Linked DNA regions of Schizosaccharomyces pombe. Changing the gene in region 2 together with the main gene of any one other region gives a genetic interaction. Each region holds a gene or a part of one and is shown on either strand. Other genes may lie near its edges.

The links.
Region 1: of hsp9 (region 2) and rad25, extra expression of one rescues a mutant of the other (dosage rescue), as found in Schizosaccharomyces pombe (one study listed by BioGRID).

Annotation. Positions count from the first base shown.
Region 1 is NC_003424.3:3,581,895-3,588,165, forward strand, and holds rad25 (14-3-3 protein Rad25), read right to left. Parts: upstream 2,948-6,271; 5' UTR 2,886-2,947; coding exon 2,819-2,885; intron 2,102-2,818; coding exon 1,356-2,101; 3' UTR 1,234-1,355; downstream 1-1,233. Other genes in the region: rrp1 (ATP-dependent DNA helicase), read left to right, coding at 1-1,022; vacuolar CorA family magnesium ion transmembrane transporter Mnr2, read left to right, coding at 4,541-6,271. UniProt on the Schizosaccharomyces pombe protein: Acts in cell cycle and stress checkpoint signaling by sequestering signal transducers regulated by the checkpoints. Required for the DNA damage checkpoint that ensures that DNA damage is repaired before mitosis is attempted.
Region 2 is NC_003424.3:5,318,453-5,323,660, forward strand, and holds hsp9 (plasma membrane heat shock protein Hsp9), read right to left. Parts: upstream 2,225-5,208; 5' UTR 2,154-2,224; coding exon 1,947-2,153; 3' UTR 1,505-1,946; downstream 1-1,504. Other genes in the region: zip3 (ZIP zinc transporter 1), read left to right, coding at 1-848; ski7 (ski complex-interacting GTPase), read left to right, coding at 4,075-4,270, 4,326-4,799, 4,860-5,208.

The DNA.
Region 1 (6,271 bases), 1.7 Mb from region 2:
AATTTTGTTGTCACCCATGGCTTGTTAAGAGTTCTAGCTTGGATAACAGCTTTAGAATTAGAGATTCCGAAAACGTCAGAAATGCTTGCAAGTCTTTGGATCCCTTGACCATAGAAAGAATTGCTACACTACAGGATTTCAACTGTAGTGTTTGTTTGGATCCTTGTTTGGCTCCCGTTTTTATTATCCCTTGCGGGCACTTTACATGTCAAGAGTGTATGAGCATGCTAGTCGGCCAGAAGTATGGATCATCAAGCACTTCTACGATCATAGCAAAGTGCCCAATGTGCAGAGGTAATATAGTTCAAGATTCATTAGTTGATGCAACTATCCTTCAAGCAATCCATGGTCCTTTAAACTCTTTAAAGCAATTAGAGTTAGATATGAATCAATCTTTTTCAGAACAAGAAAGCATTAAATTAAGGTGGGAAAATCGTATTGACCAGATGTTTACCAAAAAATTTGGCAAGCGGGCGAGCGAATGGAAAAGCTCCTCGAAATTGAATCAAGCAAGACAAACAATTTTGGATATAATTGGCTCCAAGAGAAACGAAAAAATTCTGGTCTATTCTCAGTTCTCCCAGTATTTATGCCTCGTATCGCACATGCTAAAATTAGAAAATATACGACATGTTCGTTATGATGGTACTATGTCTGCGAACCAGAGGCAAAAGTCCCTACATTCTTTTAATAACGATAAAGATGTTTTAGTCATGCTGGTTTCATTGAAAGCCGGCAGCGTGGGTTTGAATTTGACGATTGCAAATCACGTTATTCTACAGGAACCATTTTATAATCCGAGCATAGAGGATCAAGCAATAGATCGTGTTCATCGGCTTGGACAGCAGAAGCCTGTCACCGTGTATAGGTTTATTACTAAAGATACGATTGAAGAGCGTATCGTCAGTGTTCAACGTAAGAAGCGTCAATTGGTTAAAGAAGCTTTGGATTCAAACGAAAACAATCCTCTGTCGAGACTTGACAAAGAAGAGTTGCTATATCTATTTGGGCTTAATTCATGATTATTTAATGTTAACGTTACTCAAATGAACTATACTCTACTGCATACTAAACTAAACGTTAAAAAAAGGGGTGGTGTAGTGTAACGCATGTACAATGTATAATAATAGTATGCTTTGATGGTTTTAAGGCCACAAAGCCAAACTAACTACTCATGAAACGTAATCAAAGTTATAAATTTATAAATGATAGAAATAAAGTGCAAGAAGAATATAATGAAGATAACTTTGTTATATGGCTACGAATATTAGATAAATCATAGGTATCAGTTCATATATGCAAAAGTAATCAGACCATTAGGATCCGTTTACTGATAAAATGCTAACGCTTTAGTTTCAAGCTTTAACAGTGTCAGTCGTAGACTCTTTGGGCTCGGGATGTTCGTTTTCAGAAGCAGCAGCGGCAGCAGGAGCCTCCTCCTTAGCAGACTGGTTGTATTCGGCGTCAGAAGTCCATAAAGTCAAGTTATCGCGAAGAAGCTGCATGATTAAAGTAGAGTCTTTGTAAGATTCTTCAGAAAGACTATCGAGCTCTGAAATGGCCTCATCAAATACTTGTTTAGCCAAATGGCATGCACTTTCTGGAGAGTCAAGGATTTCATAATAGAAGACGGAAAAGTTGAGAGCCAAACCCAAGCGCATAGGGTCCGTGGGAGGCAACTCAGCAACAGCAATGTCAGAAGCTGCCTTGTAAGCTTCTAAAGAGCTGTCGGCGGCCTCTTTGCAAACTTCGCCAACAGTAAATTCGGCCAAATAACGATAGTAATCACCCTTCATTTTATAGTAAAATACCTTGGATTCACCGGTTGTAGCGGCAGGAATCAAATGCTTTTCAAGGACGGAAAGGACGTCATGACAAATATCGGATAACTCATCTTCAATCTTCTTACGGTACTCTTTAATCAATGCGGCTTGTCGAGTGTTGCCCCTACTTTCCTCCTTTTGCTCTATAGAGGAAATAATACGCCATGATGCTCTGCGAGCACCAATGATGTTTTTATAGGCAACAGAAAGCAAGTTACGTTCTTCAACAGAAAGTTTATCGTTTGAGCATGCAACTTTCTTCATATTTTCGACCATTTCTATACATTATCAGTTAGCAAAGAAGCAAAAACAAAAAGGAGAGATGAAAGAAGCAAAGCCAAGTATAGACGGGTCAACAAACAGTAATTCAAAACGAGTTATCATTGCATGGTGAAGATATGAAGGTAATAATATCCTTAATTGCGTTGAGGTTTACCTACAGAACGGTGTTTCGTGTTACTCCTGATGTTAGTGAATTTCTTTGTCTTGGTGGTTACAAAGAAACCTCAAATCATAAGAGGAGATAAGAATGATAAGACAATCAAGGCAGTTCAATCGTGGTTTTAAGAGAAAAAAGGAAGCAAGGTAGGAAATAGAACAAAGGCGACAAAAAATAATGATTACGAAAACCATAAAATCAAGAGAATTGCAAGCCGTTCTTGTCCATAACCTCAGATATCATAAACATGTCCAACAACAAAACAATGTTGTAAGAACTCATTTTAAACCTCATCAAGCGATTTTGGGGACATTTTAAAATACACAAGTCATCCACGTACTAACCCATAACCCCTCTTTTTCTCAGCCGCATCAAACAAACAACCTTGCAACATTCAACAACGCAACCTGTTCAAGACCAACAATATTAAAAAACCAAAGAACTCCCACATACAGTAGCAAACTGCAATATAATAACTTTTCATCAAGGTCCCTTCATTGACAATTTCGTACTATTACGCTATATCTACTTCCAACAGCGGATCCTTATCACATACCTTCGTAGCGTTCAGCCTGTTCGGCCAACTTGGCGAGATACACCGAGTTTTCACGAGAATTACTCATATTTGCAAGGAATTATTAAAAGCGGTGGTTAGTTGAGGTTGGTAGAAGTGAGAAAGGAAAGTTGGGAAGGTTGGTTGGTCAGCCGAATATATGACGGACTATACTGAGATTTATGGATATCTAACAGAAACATCACTACACCTCTCTTATTCTTTTACAATATCGTAAAAATACTTCTTACACGTATGATTAGGCTTCCAAAAACAAATGCCAAACAAATGCCCAGTGTCAATAGGAATTCGGTAGAAAACGCGTTTTTACTCACTGAATGAGGAATTGCTGTCTTAAAGTATGTTACAATAAGTTTTTCTTTCGAAAACAAGATACCAAGTATCAAACATAAGCGTGAAAGATTACAGTTAAAACAATGAGTGCAATAATTGAGGAAGCTTGACAGAAACAAGAGGCTTACTTTAGGGGCAAAGAAGTTTTAGAAGGTTTTTTATCACTCTATGCAGGAAGCTTCAAGAAGAAGGCGTTTTTCTTTAGTTTTCGATGGCATATGCGATATGCTTGAATATCCGTAGGAGGCGGCGAAATTCCATTATATTACATTGACTACAAAGGAGTACAGTGAGCTGAAAAGTGTGTGTTATTATGTAAGCTGCTTTTCGGCGTTGTCATCACAGATTGGTGATTACCGCAAACGGTAATTTTACGAACAAAAAAGATCAAATTACATTGTGCTGATTAATTGCTCCTTCAACTTGTGTATTTTAAACTTAATACTTCTTGGCTTAAATGTAAAGTTTTTTAATTCTCGTTGTTCTAAAATTGCATACTGCGTTTATCATAAACCTTTCAAGTTTCCCTGAAATTGTTTCTGTTATCCTGAAACAATACGATATTCTTATATGAAAAAGGTATGAGTTGATTTAAACAAGATAATACGACTTTATAATTTCAGGGTTATTGTTCGCTCATTTCACTTACACGTTTGATGGGGTTTCTACTGCAATGCTGCAGTCCCGTTGTGGGCAACTTGATTGCGCGGTAATACGAAAAGTAGGATTTTAAATTGTTACAAGGGACAATCTGGTTGGGATAAGATTTTTTATAAGTCGCGGTACTTATTTTGTCTAGTAAACAAAACCGTCCTCTTATGTGCAACTTCAGCAGAATTTACTAACCAATTCTATTCATCCTTACAAGAAAATAATTAATTTGCACCAATTTGAACCTGGTTCAATATGTGTAGGCCGGAAATGAATTTAATTATGCTGCATTGGATTCTTACAAATACACTTCAAAAATATTGATGAAATTAAACAAAACTATGCTTAAAGATACTGTATTTTGTCTGGTATATGATTTGGGGGTCTTTAAAAAATTGCCTTCCATATCAATGATAAGCGTCTTAGCTGCCACACCTCAACAACACATCTCTAAAAATTGGCATTTCCTCTGTTGTTTGAGTTTTGTGAAATTATTCTTTAAATATTTTTAATAAATTCAAACCTCTCAATCAAATGTGGGCAGAAATCCTCTCTTTCTCACCAATAGAGTAATTATATAAATAATCCACAAACCGTTAGTTTGTTAAACCAAACGCTATTCGATCTCTTTGGCATTATAACTATTTTGATAAACCAAGAATAATACATTCATTGCTATACAACCTGTCAATTCTTAGCATCCATAATCCTGTTTGAATTATGCCATCCAATACATCCCGGTCAGTGCCTACGGGCTTTTATTACAAACAAAATGCTAGGATGCAGAACAGGCCTAGATTTTCTGATCGTAAACACTCGAGTAAATCTAAACATCGATTTCCAGTGGACCCTAGTTTGCAACCAGACGAAGCGGATGAGGGAACAAGATTATTGGGAAACAGTGATAGTGATCTATTAGAACCACCGTCTGAGCATTCAAGTAATGGGGAAGATGACAAGGATATTAATAACCCTCCTTCAATGCCTAGTTCTGTTTGTTCTTCCCCGAAAAGTCCACACCGTCACTATGAAAGCGATGAAGACATCGAAAATATATCACTGCCGGAAAGCCATCCAGAGGACATTCAAAGGAAAGAATTTGAGACGGAAAATGGGAAGAATACAAGAGATCAACCTAGTCCACTTGCTGAGGTCAGTGACTTTGCTATTTCATCCCCCCATGTCTACCCTAAATCAGCTAATTCTCATGATAGTCACTATGAACAGTTTGCAAACAACGACGTGACTGAGAGTGCTGTTGATGATCATCCGGCTACTCGAAAGTTATCTCGGGATGAGTTGTATTTACCCATATCTCCAAACAATGCTCAAGAACCAAAGTTTTCTGTCCTTGATGAATGGACCAAAAAGATGGTTGCCAATTTTGAAGAATATTCGGTAGAAGATGTTGATAAGCGTCGTGAAAGAAATAGGAAGTTGAGTGAACCGTTACTTGTAAATGGCCGTTATCGTGTTCGTGATCGTTGGGCTCAATTTCGTAAGTCAGAAATTGAAAAACCATATCGATTTACATTCTTTACCGATGAGCTTCCTTCTACTATCCATTCACATGAAATGTGGGAACTCGTTCACGATGGCCAAAGCTTTGAGGACCTTTTCCATTCTGGAGGAACTTGGTGGCTAGATGTCTCTTGTCCAAAGGAAGAAGAAATTCGAGTTCTGGCAAAGGCTTTTGGAATCCATCCTTTAACCGTTGAAGATATTACTCTCGAAGAGGATCGTGAAAAAGTCGAGCTTTTTAGAACGTATTACTTTGTTACCTTCCGTTCATTCAACCAATTACCCTCAAACTCTGAGTACCTAAAGCCGTTGAATTTTTATCTAGTCGTCTTTCGTGACGGTATAATTACTTTTCATATGAACCCGACACCGCATCCAGCTAATGTTCGTCGAAGGATTCGTCAACTGAATGGTTATCTGACAGTGAATGCAGATTGGATCGCATATGCATTGCTGGACGATACTACAGATGCTTTCGCTCCATTCATTGAGCAAATTGAAGATGAAGTCGACACAATTGATTCCATGATTTTGAGTATCCATTATGATCACGTAATGGAAGTGAAGCCTCAAGAGAGAATGTTGCAGCGCGTTGGTGAATGCCGCAAGCTGATCATGAGTTTGCTACGTTTGCTTGCCAATAAGGCAGATGTTGTTAGAGGTCTTTCCAAACGATGCAACGAGTCATGGCAAGTAGCTCCTAGAGGTGAAATTGCTTTATATCTTGGTGATGTGCAGGATCACATAGTCACTATGGTTCAAAATTTGAACCATTACGAAAAAATTTTATCTCGAAGTCATTCAAATTATTTGGCTCAGATTTCTATTAATATGACACTTGTTTCGAATGAAACAAATGAAGTCTTATCACGTTTGACTATCTTGGGTACAATTCTAATTCCGTTGAACTTGGTTACCGGTTTATGGGGT
Region 2 (5,208 bases):
TTTCTGCAGGTAGTTTATTAGGCGATGTTTTTCTACAATTACTTCCTACTGTGTATTCGACAAATGGAGGAGATTTTCCAGCATCTTCTGTTTATTCAATCCTTATTGGAGCCCTAGTATTCTTTCTAATGGATAAGGGAATCCGCATTTTAATACATGAGCGTCCGTCTTCGCTCTCTAAGCCAAAGAAAGACGGTGAAGAGACTTCAAGTGTAAACAAACCTTCTGCTTCTTCAACTCAAACTGACGTTAAAGGAGTGGAAGGATTGCGGAAACGAAATGTCAAAGATGATCAGAACTCTAAAGGTCACGAGCCTGATTTGATTAGACATGTAGTTGAAGAAGTTAGTGAAGAGTATAACGACAAAACTGTGGTATATTTAAATTTGTTATGTGATTCATTTCATAATTTTATGGACGGTTTGGCGATCACTTCCGCCTTCTTTACCAATACCTCCATTGGCATATCCACCACATTTGCTGTTCTATTACACGAAATTCCAGCAGAAATTGGTGACTTGGCTATACTTCTGAGAAATGGGTATACGAAATCGCAAGTACTCGTGTTGCAAATGATCACTATGGTGACGGGATTATTGGGAGCAATTGTCGCTACATATATATACACTGCTTCATCTTCATCTTCACCATATGGTTCTTTCCTTCTACAACTTGAGGATAAACTCCTTCCTTTCACGGCTGGTGGTTTCCTTTATATAGCTTACCTAGGCGTATTTCCCGAGCTTTTGGAAATCAACTTATCAAAAGGAAAGCTGGGAAATATGATTTACACGGCATTGTACATGATGTTTATTGTTGGAGGTTTTTCTTTTTTATATTATGTTTAAAGTGACAGATAACTTACATTAGGGCGTGGTATGGAGTTGATATTGTACTATTCTAGAAATATAAATCGGGACTAATATTTTTTGTCCTTCATTTTTTCTGGCATTGTGCTTTGTCTTTACATTTAATATTAAAAAATTACACATTTATGAAGATGTGTAGAAACATTATTTTAGTTCTTTTATTAACTTGTTAATTATTATGGTAGAATTAAGTTGTTCACATTCACATAAGGCGCTTTCGTGTTCAAACTTGTAATTTTTGATCCCTCTTATTTCAAAATTTACGCGCTTTAAATCGTTTAAGAGTATTTTTATTTCTTTTCCATAACCTGTTTCTATTCTAGCTGACAGAAAAGATTGTAAACAATCGGCATTGAGAGTAAACAAATAATGCCAATTTAAAATAACATTCAATGTTTTTGCTTTTCATAAGCGAAAACACGTTTTGACCAAACCTGACAAGACTAAAACTATATGGAATATTATTATTATAAGGGTAAAGGAAACGAGTAAGAATTCAAGGGCAATAAACAAAACATCCTAACTTTTTTACCGTTGTTTCTATCACCATCCTAATGTTTTGAGTTTTCATCATTGTAACATTCCTATGTCAAACAGTGGATGAAAACACTTGTTACCCAAGTCACAACTACTAACTGTTTTACAGTACTGTTTTTAAGTTACTCGTTACTTATATGTAAACAATACAGTTGCTAGATATGGTAGTAAAAAGTATATAGGGTATAAGGGAAAATATATTTCATTACTTCAAATCGATAAAGATTTTGAACCAAAGAATATATAAGCACCCACTTTTTGAAAAAAATTTGTAAAAAAAGTCGAGCAAATATATATATATGATGGTATCACGTAACCTCGTTATATATCATAAAATTAGATGGTAATTGGTCAAGGATGCAACCTCGCATTAGAAAGTGATGAGATGGATCGTTCATAAAAACAATCCAACCACTACCTACTAAATTGAGGAGACCTCAAACCATTTTCGTCCGTTCATCGGTAAAGAAATCATCCCGATGCTTTGGTGGATTGAGTTTCACCAGCCAAAAGCATGAATTTTAAGTCATAAGAACCTCTTTACAACTTGTCATCAACAAAGCGTTGAGCCTTGTCATGAGCCTCTTGAGAGGTGCTCTTGTCCTCGTCAGAGGTAAAAGCAGAGGCGACCTTGTCGTAGGCACCAGTAATGGATTCCTTGGCCTTGTCGAGGGTAGACTTGGAGGAGTCAGGAGTCATTTTCTCCTTGCCTTGTTCAGTAAAAGACTTTCTTGCGGGATCAGACATTTTGAATATTTAAGACAATTAAATTGATTGGAATTGAATTGAATGATTAAACTGTTGAACTTGGACTCGTATTTATAGCTTCTTGTCCAATTGCTCATGTCATTATGATCGCAGCCCATTACATCACATTTGCGTCAGTTAGCATTAGAAACTGGAGAAAACTGCGATCCAAGGAATTACGTAGTTTTCTATCAGATAGCTCGCTATCCAATCAGACAAATAATGAGCAGCTTCTAGCAAAGCCCCTTTTCTTCGCACCATTCGTTTTCTGAGCTACGTAAGCTATTTCCAATGAGCGCCCACTCTACTTTCTTATGATGTAATACAGAAGCTTTGTGGATTTGCAAAGCGAGATAGCGAGTACGGTAAAACCCTCGCTAGGTTAGAGGTTCAAAGTGGAGAGAAGCGAAGTGGTGGTACTAGTTCAAAGAGAGAGAGAGAGAGAAAGAGAGGAAGAAGGGGAAGTGCATCTTGTCTTTAGAGTGAGTATCCCTTAGGAAACAAACTTATTTCTGTAAATAAATTTTAAGAAGTTTTCTTTGTCTTTTAAAATTCCGAAGTATTCTTTGCATGATGGTGTTGTTATTGGGTGATGAAATTTTGATCTAAATAGGGGAACTTCACTTGTTGAAAAAAAAAACAATTAGAGCAAAAACAATAACACTTTGCAAAACGTTATTTAAAAGATAACCACAACCATGTTCAAAGTGAGTATGGCTTAGTAGAGGCAATCTCATTCAGGTATTACACACACTGCGCACAATAACACAATTGTTTCAACGCCGCACGTATTGCATGCGATACATCGTGAAATTCCGTTATAAGCAGGGAATATTACGAGATGCTGCAAACTGCGGATTACACAACTACGCAATAGAGAGTTGGTAAACCATTATTTTGTTAGACGAACTGCAATGATGGTTTTGTTAAATCAATAATAAGGAGAAGTAAGGTGTAGCTAAAGACCATTTATAATCTTTTAGGAAGCGTAACCCAAGGTGTGTAACCCGAAGTAGAGAAGAAAAGATGATACGTGAGAAATGTGAGATGAGAACATGAGCAAAAGTAGGAATGGCTCGACGTTTTTTGGTTTCTTTTTTTTTTTTTTTAAATTGATTTTATTTTATTTATTTTTAACTTTATAGAAATTTTTTTATTTTTTTTCTTATTTTATTTAATTTATTTATTCATTACAGCATTTCGAGATGGTTTCAATATTTTGTTTCTCTTTATTAATTTTTTTTTTTTTAAAACAAAGAAAGAAAGTGAAAGAATAAAATAAACTGGCCATCTTCTATTATACCCATTCTCAACAAAAACTCTTTTGAATGTAGTCCAATCACCAAAGCAAAAAAAAGTAAATTCAACTCAATCGTTCTTCCTTTTCTTTTATTTACTCGTTTTTTTTTAGGGATTTCGCTTCATACTCGTTTTTTCTTTTTAATATTCATTCCATTTTCTTTTCTTGAATAATTCGTTTACTCCTTTATTATTATTATTTTTTTTTTTTTTTAAATTTCATTCATCTTTGTATTTTATCTCTCCGTTTCACTTCTTTTCGTTCATTGTTATGGTATTCCTTTCCACAACTCCTTCACTTATATACTTCTTGTTTGCCTTTTTCTTTTCGCTTGTTTCAGTCCACTAATCATCAACTTGAATCTGTTTGCTTACTTGTATACATACCAAAACCTTTCTCATTCGAGTATGTCTATCATACCACCCAATTTTCCATCTGACTATATACAGTATATCTGATTCGCTTAATCCATCCTAACTTCTCGTCATCCACCTTCCAATTTAACATTTTACGCATACATGCTAATGAGCTTTTGAGCAATTGATTTGCATTTTGTATATTATTATAGACTTATTTAATGAGTAATTTTTTTGTCTCGATCCATCATTTTCATTTAGAAATATGTCTAGGTTGTCTCAGTTGTTAAACTCCAAAAAAGCAAAACAAAAACCTCCGTCTGAACATCCCATCGGTCTTTCTTCTATCCTAAAACAAGACTCCTCTTCAAGTTCTGATTCTCCCAACTTTTTTCCATCCTCCAGCACAAATGACCATCAAGAACGTGACACAATTAACGACACTAACTTTGTAGTTCCAGGTACGCCATTATAATTAGTCACAAAAAGTGGAGAACTAGAAATTAACATTCATAGAGAAACAAAAAACATCCAAGCTCGCATTACTCGCCGCTGAACGGAAAAAATTGCATTCTTCTTTTCCATCCACTCAACAGCAGCCGCCTAAAACCGAAAAGGAAAAGGAAAAAGAGCCTATTCAAGCTAAACATAAGAAAAACGTTGAAAATGATTTTTTGTTGCAAAGGTTTCGAAAGGTTCGCATTGCAGAGAAGAAAGACTCTGAACAACCATCGTCTCATGAAATTCATCTTACTGACGATGATGATAAAACCACACTCCAAAAACAAATGGTGGAAAGCGACCAACTGAAGAAGAACCCCCAAGAGGTAAAATTAGCTCCTCCTTCCTCATTTGCGAAATGTCTTACAGGCGCAAAGAAGCGCGTTTTTGAGGACCAAATTGAGATTCATCTAAGCAAAAGTTCACTTTTAGGATTTAACGCCCCTAGCCCTGACGACATAGTTTTGATGGCTCAATCTAAATCTAAAAGTATGCTTTGTCTCCTTCAATTCATCTTTTCCTTTTTTTTTCGCGCTAATTGTTAAACAGGTTTCCAAAAACACAAACGTTTGGACGAGCAATTGCTAAACTCTGTAAAGTCAATGAAGAAAGTTTCTCAACAATTGAAACCTCAAAAAAATACTAATGATTCAAATAATGATCACACCTTACTTTCCCAAGATCAGTTAATTGAACTTTCCAAATTAGTAAAGCCTCGAACGAAACTCTTGTTGTTGGGCCCGCCCAAGTCTGGTAAAAAAACACTCCTTTCTAGATTATTTTTTCAAATTGGATCATTTGATCCCAAAACCATGCAAAAATGTACAGTACTGAATGCCAAAAAAGAAAGTTTGAGCTCAGTGCTAAAGTCCACCAAAACGAAATGGTATGATTTTGA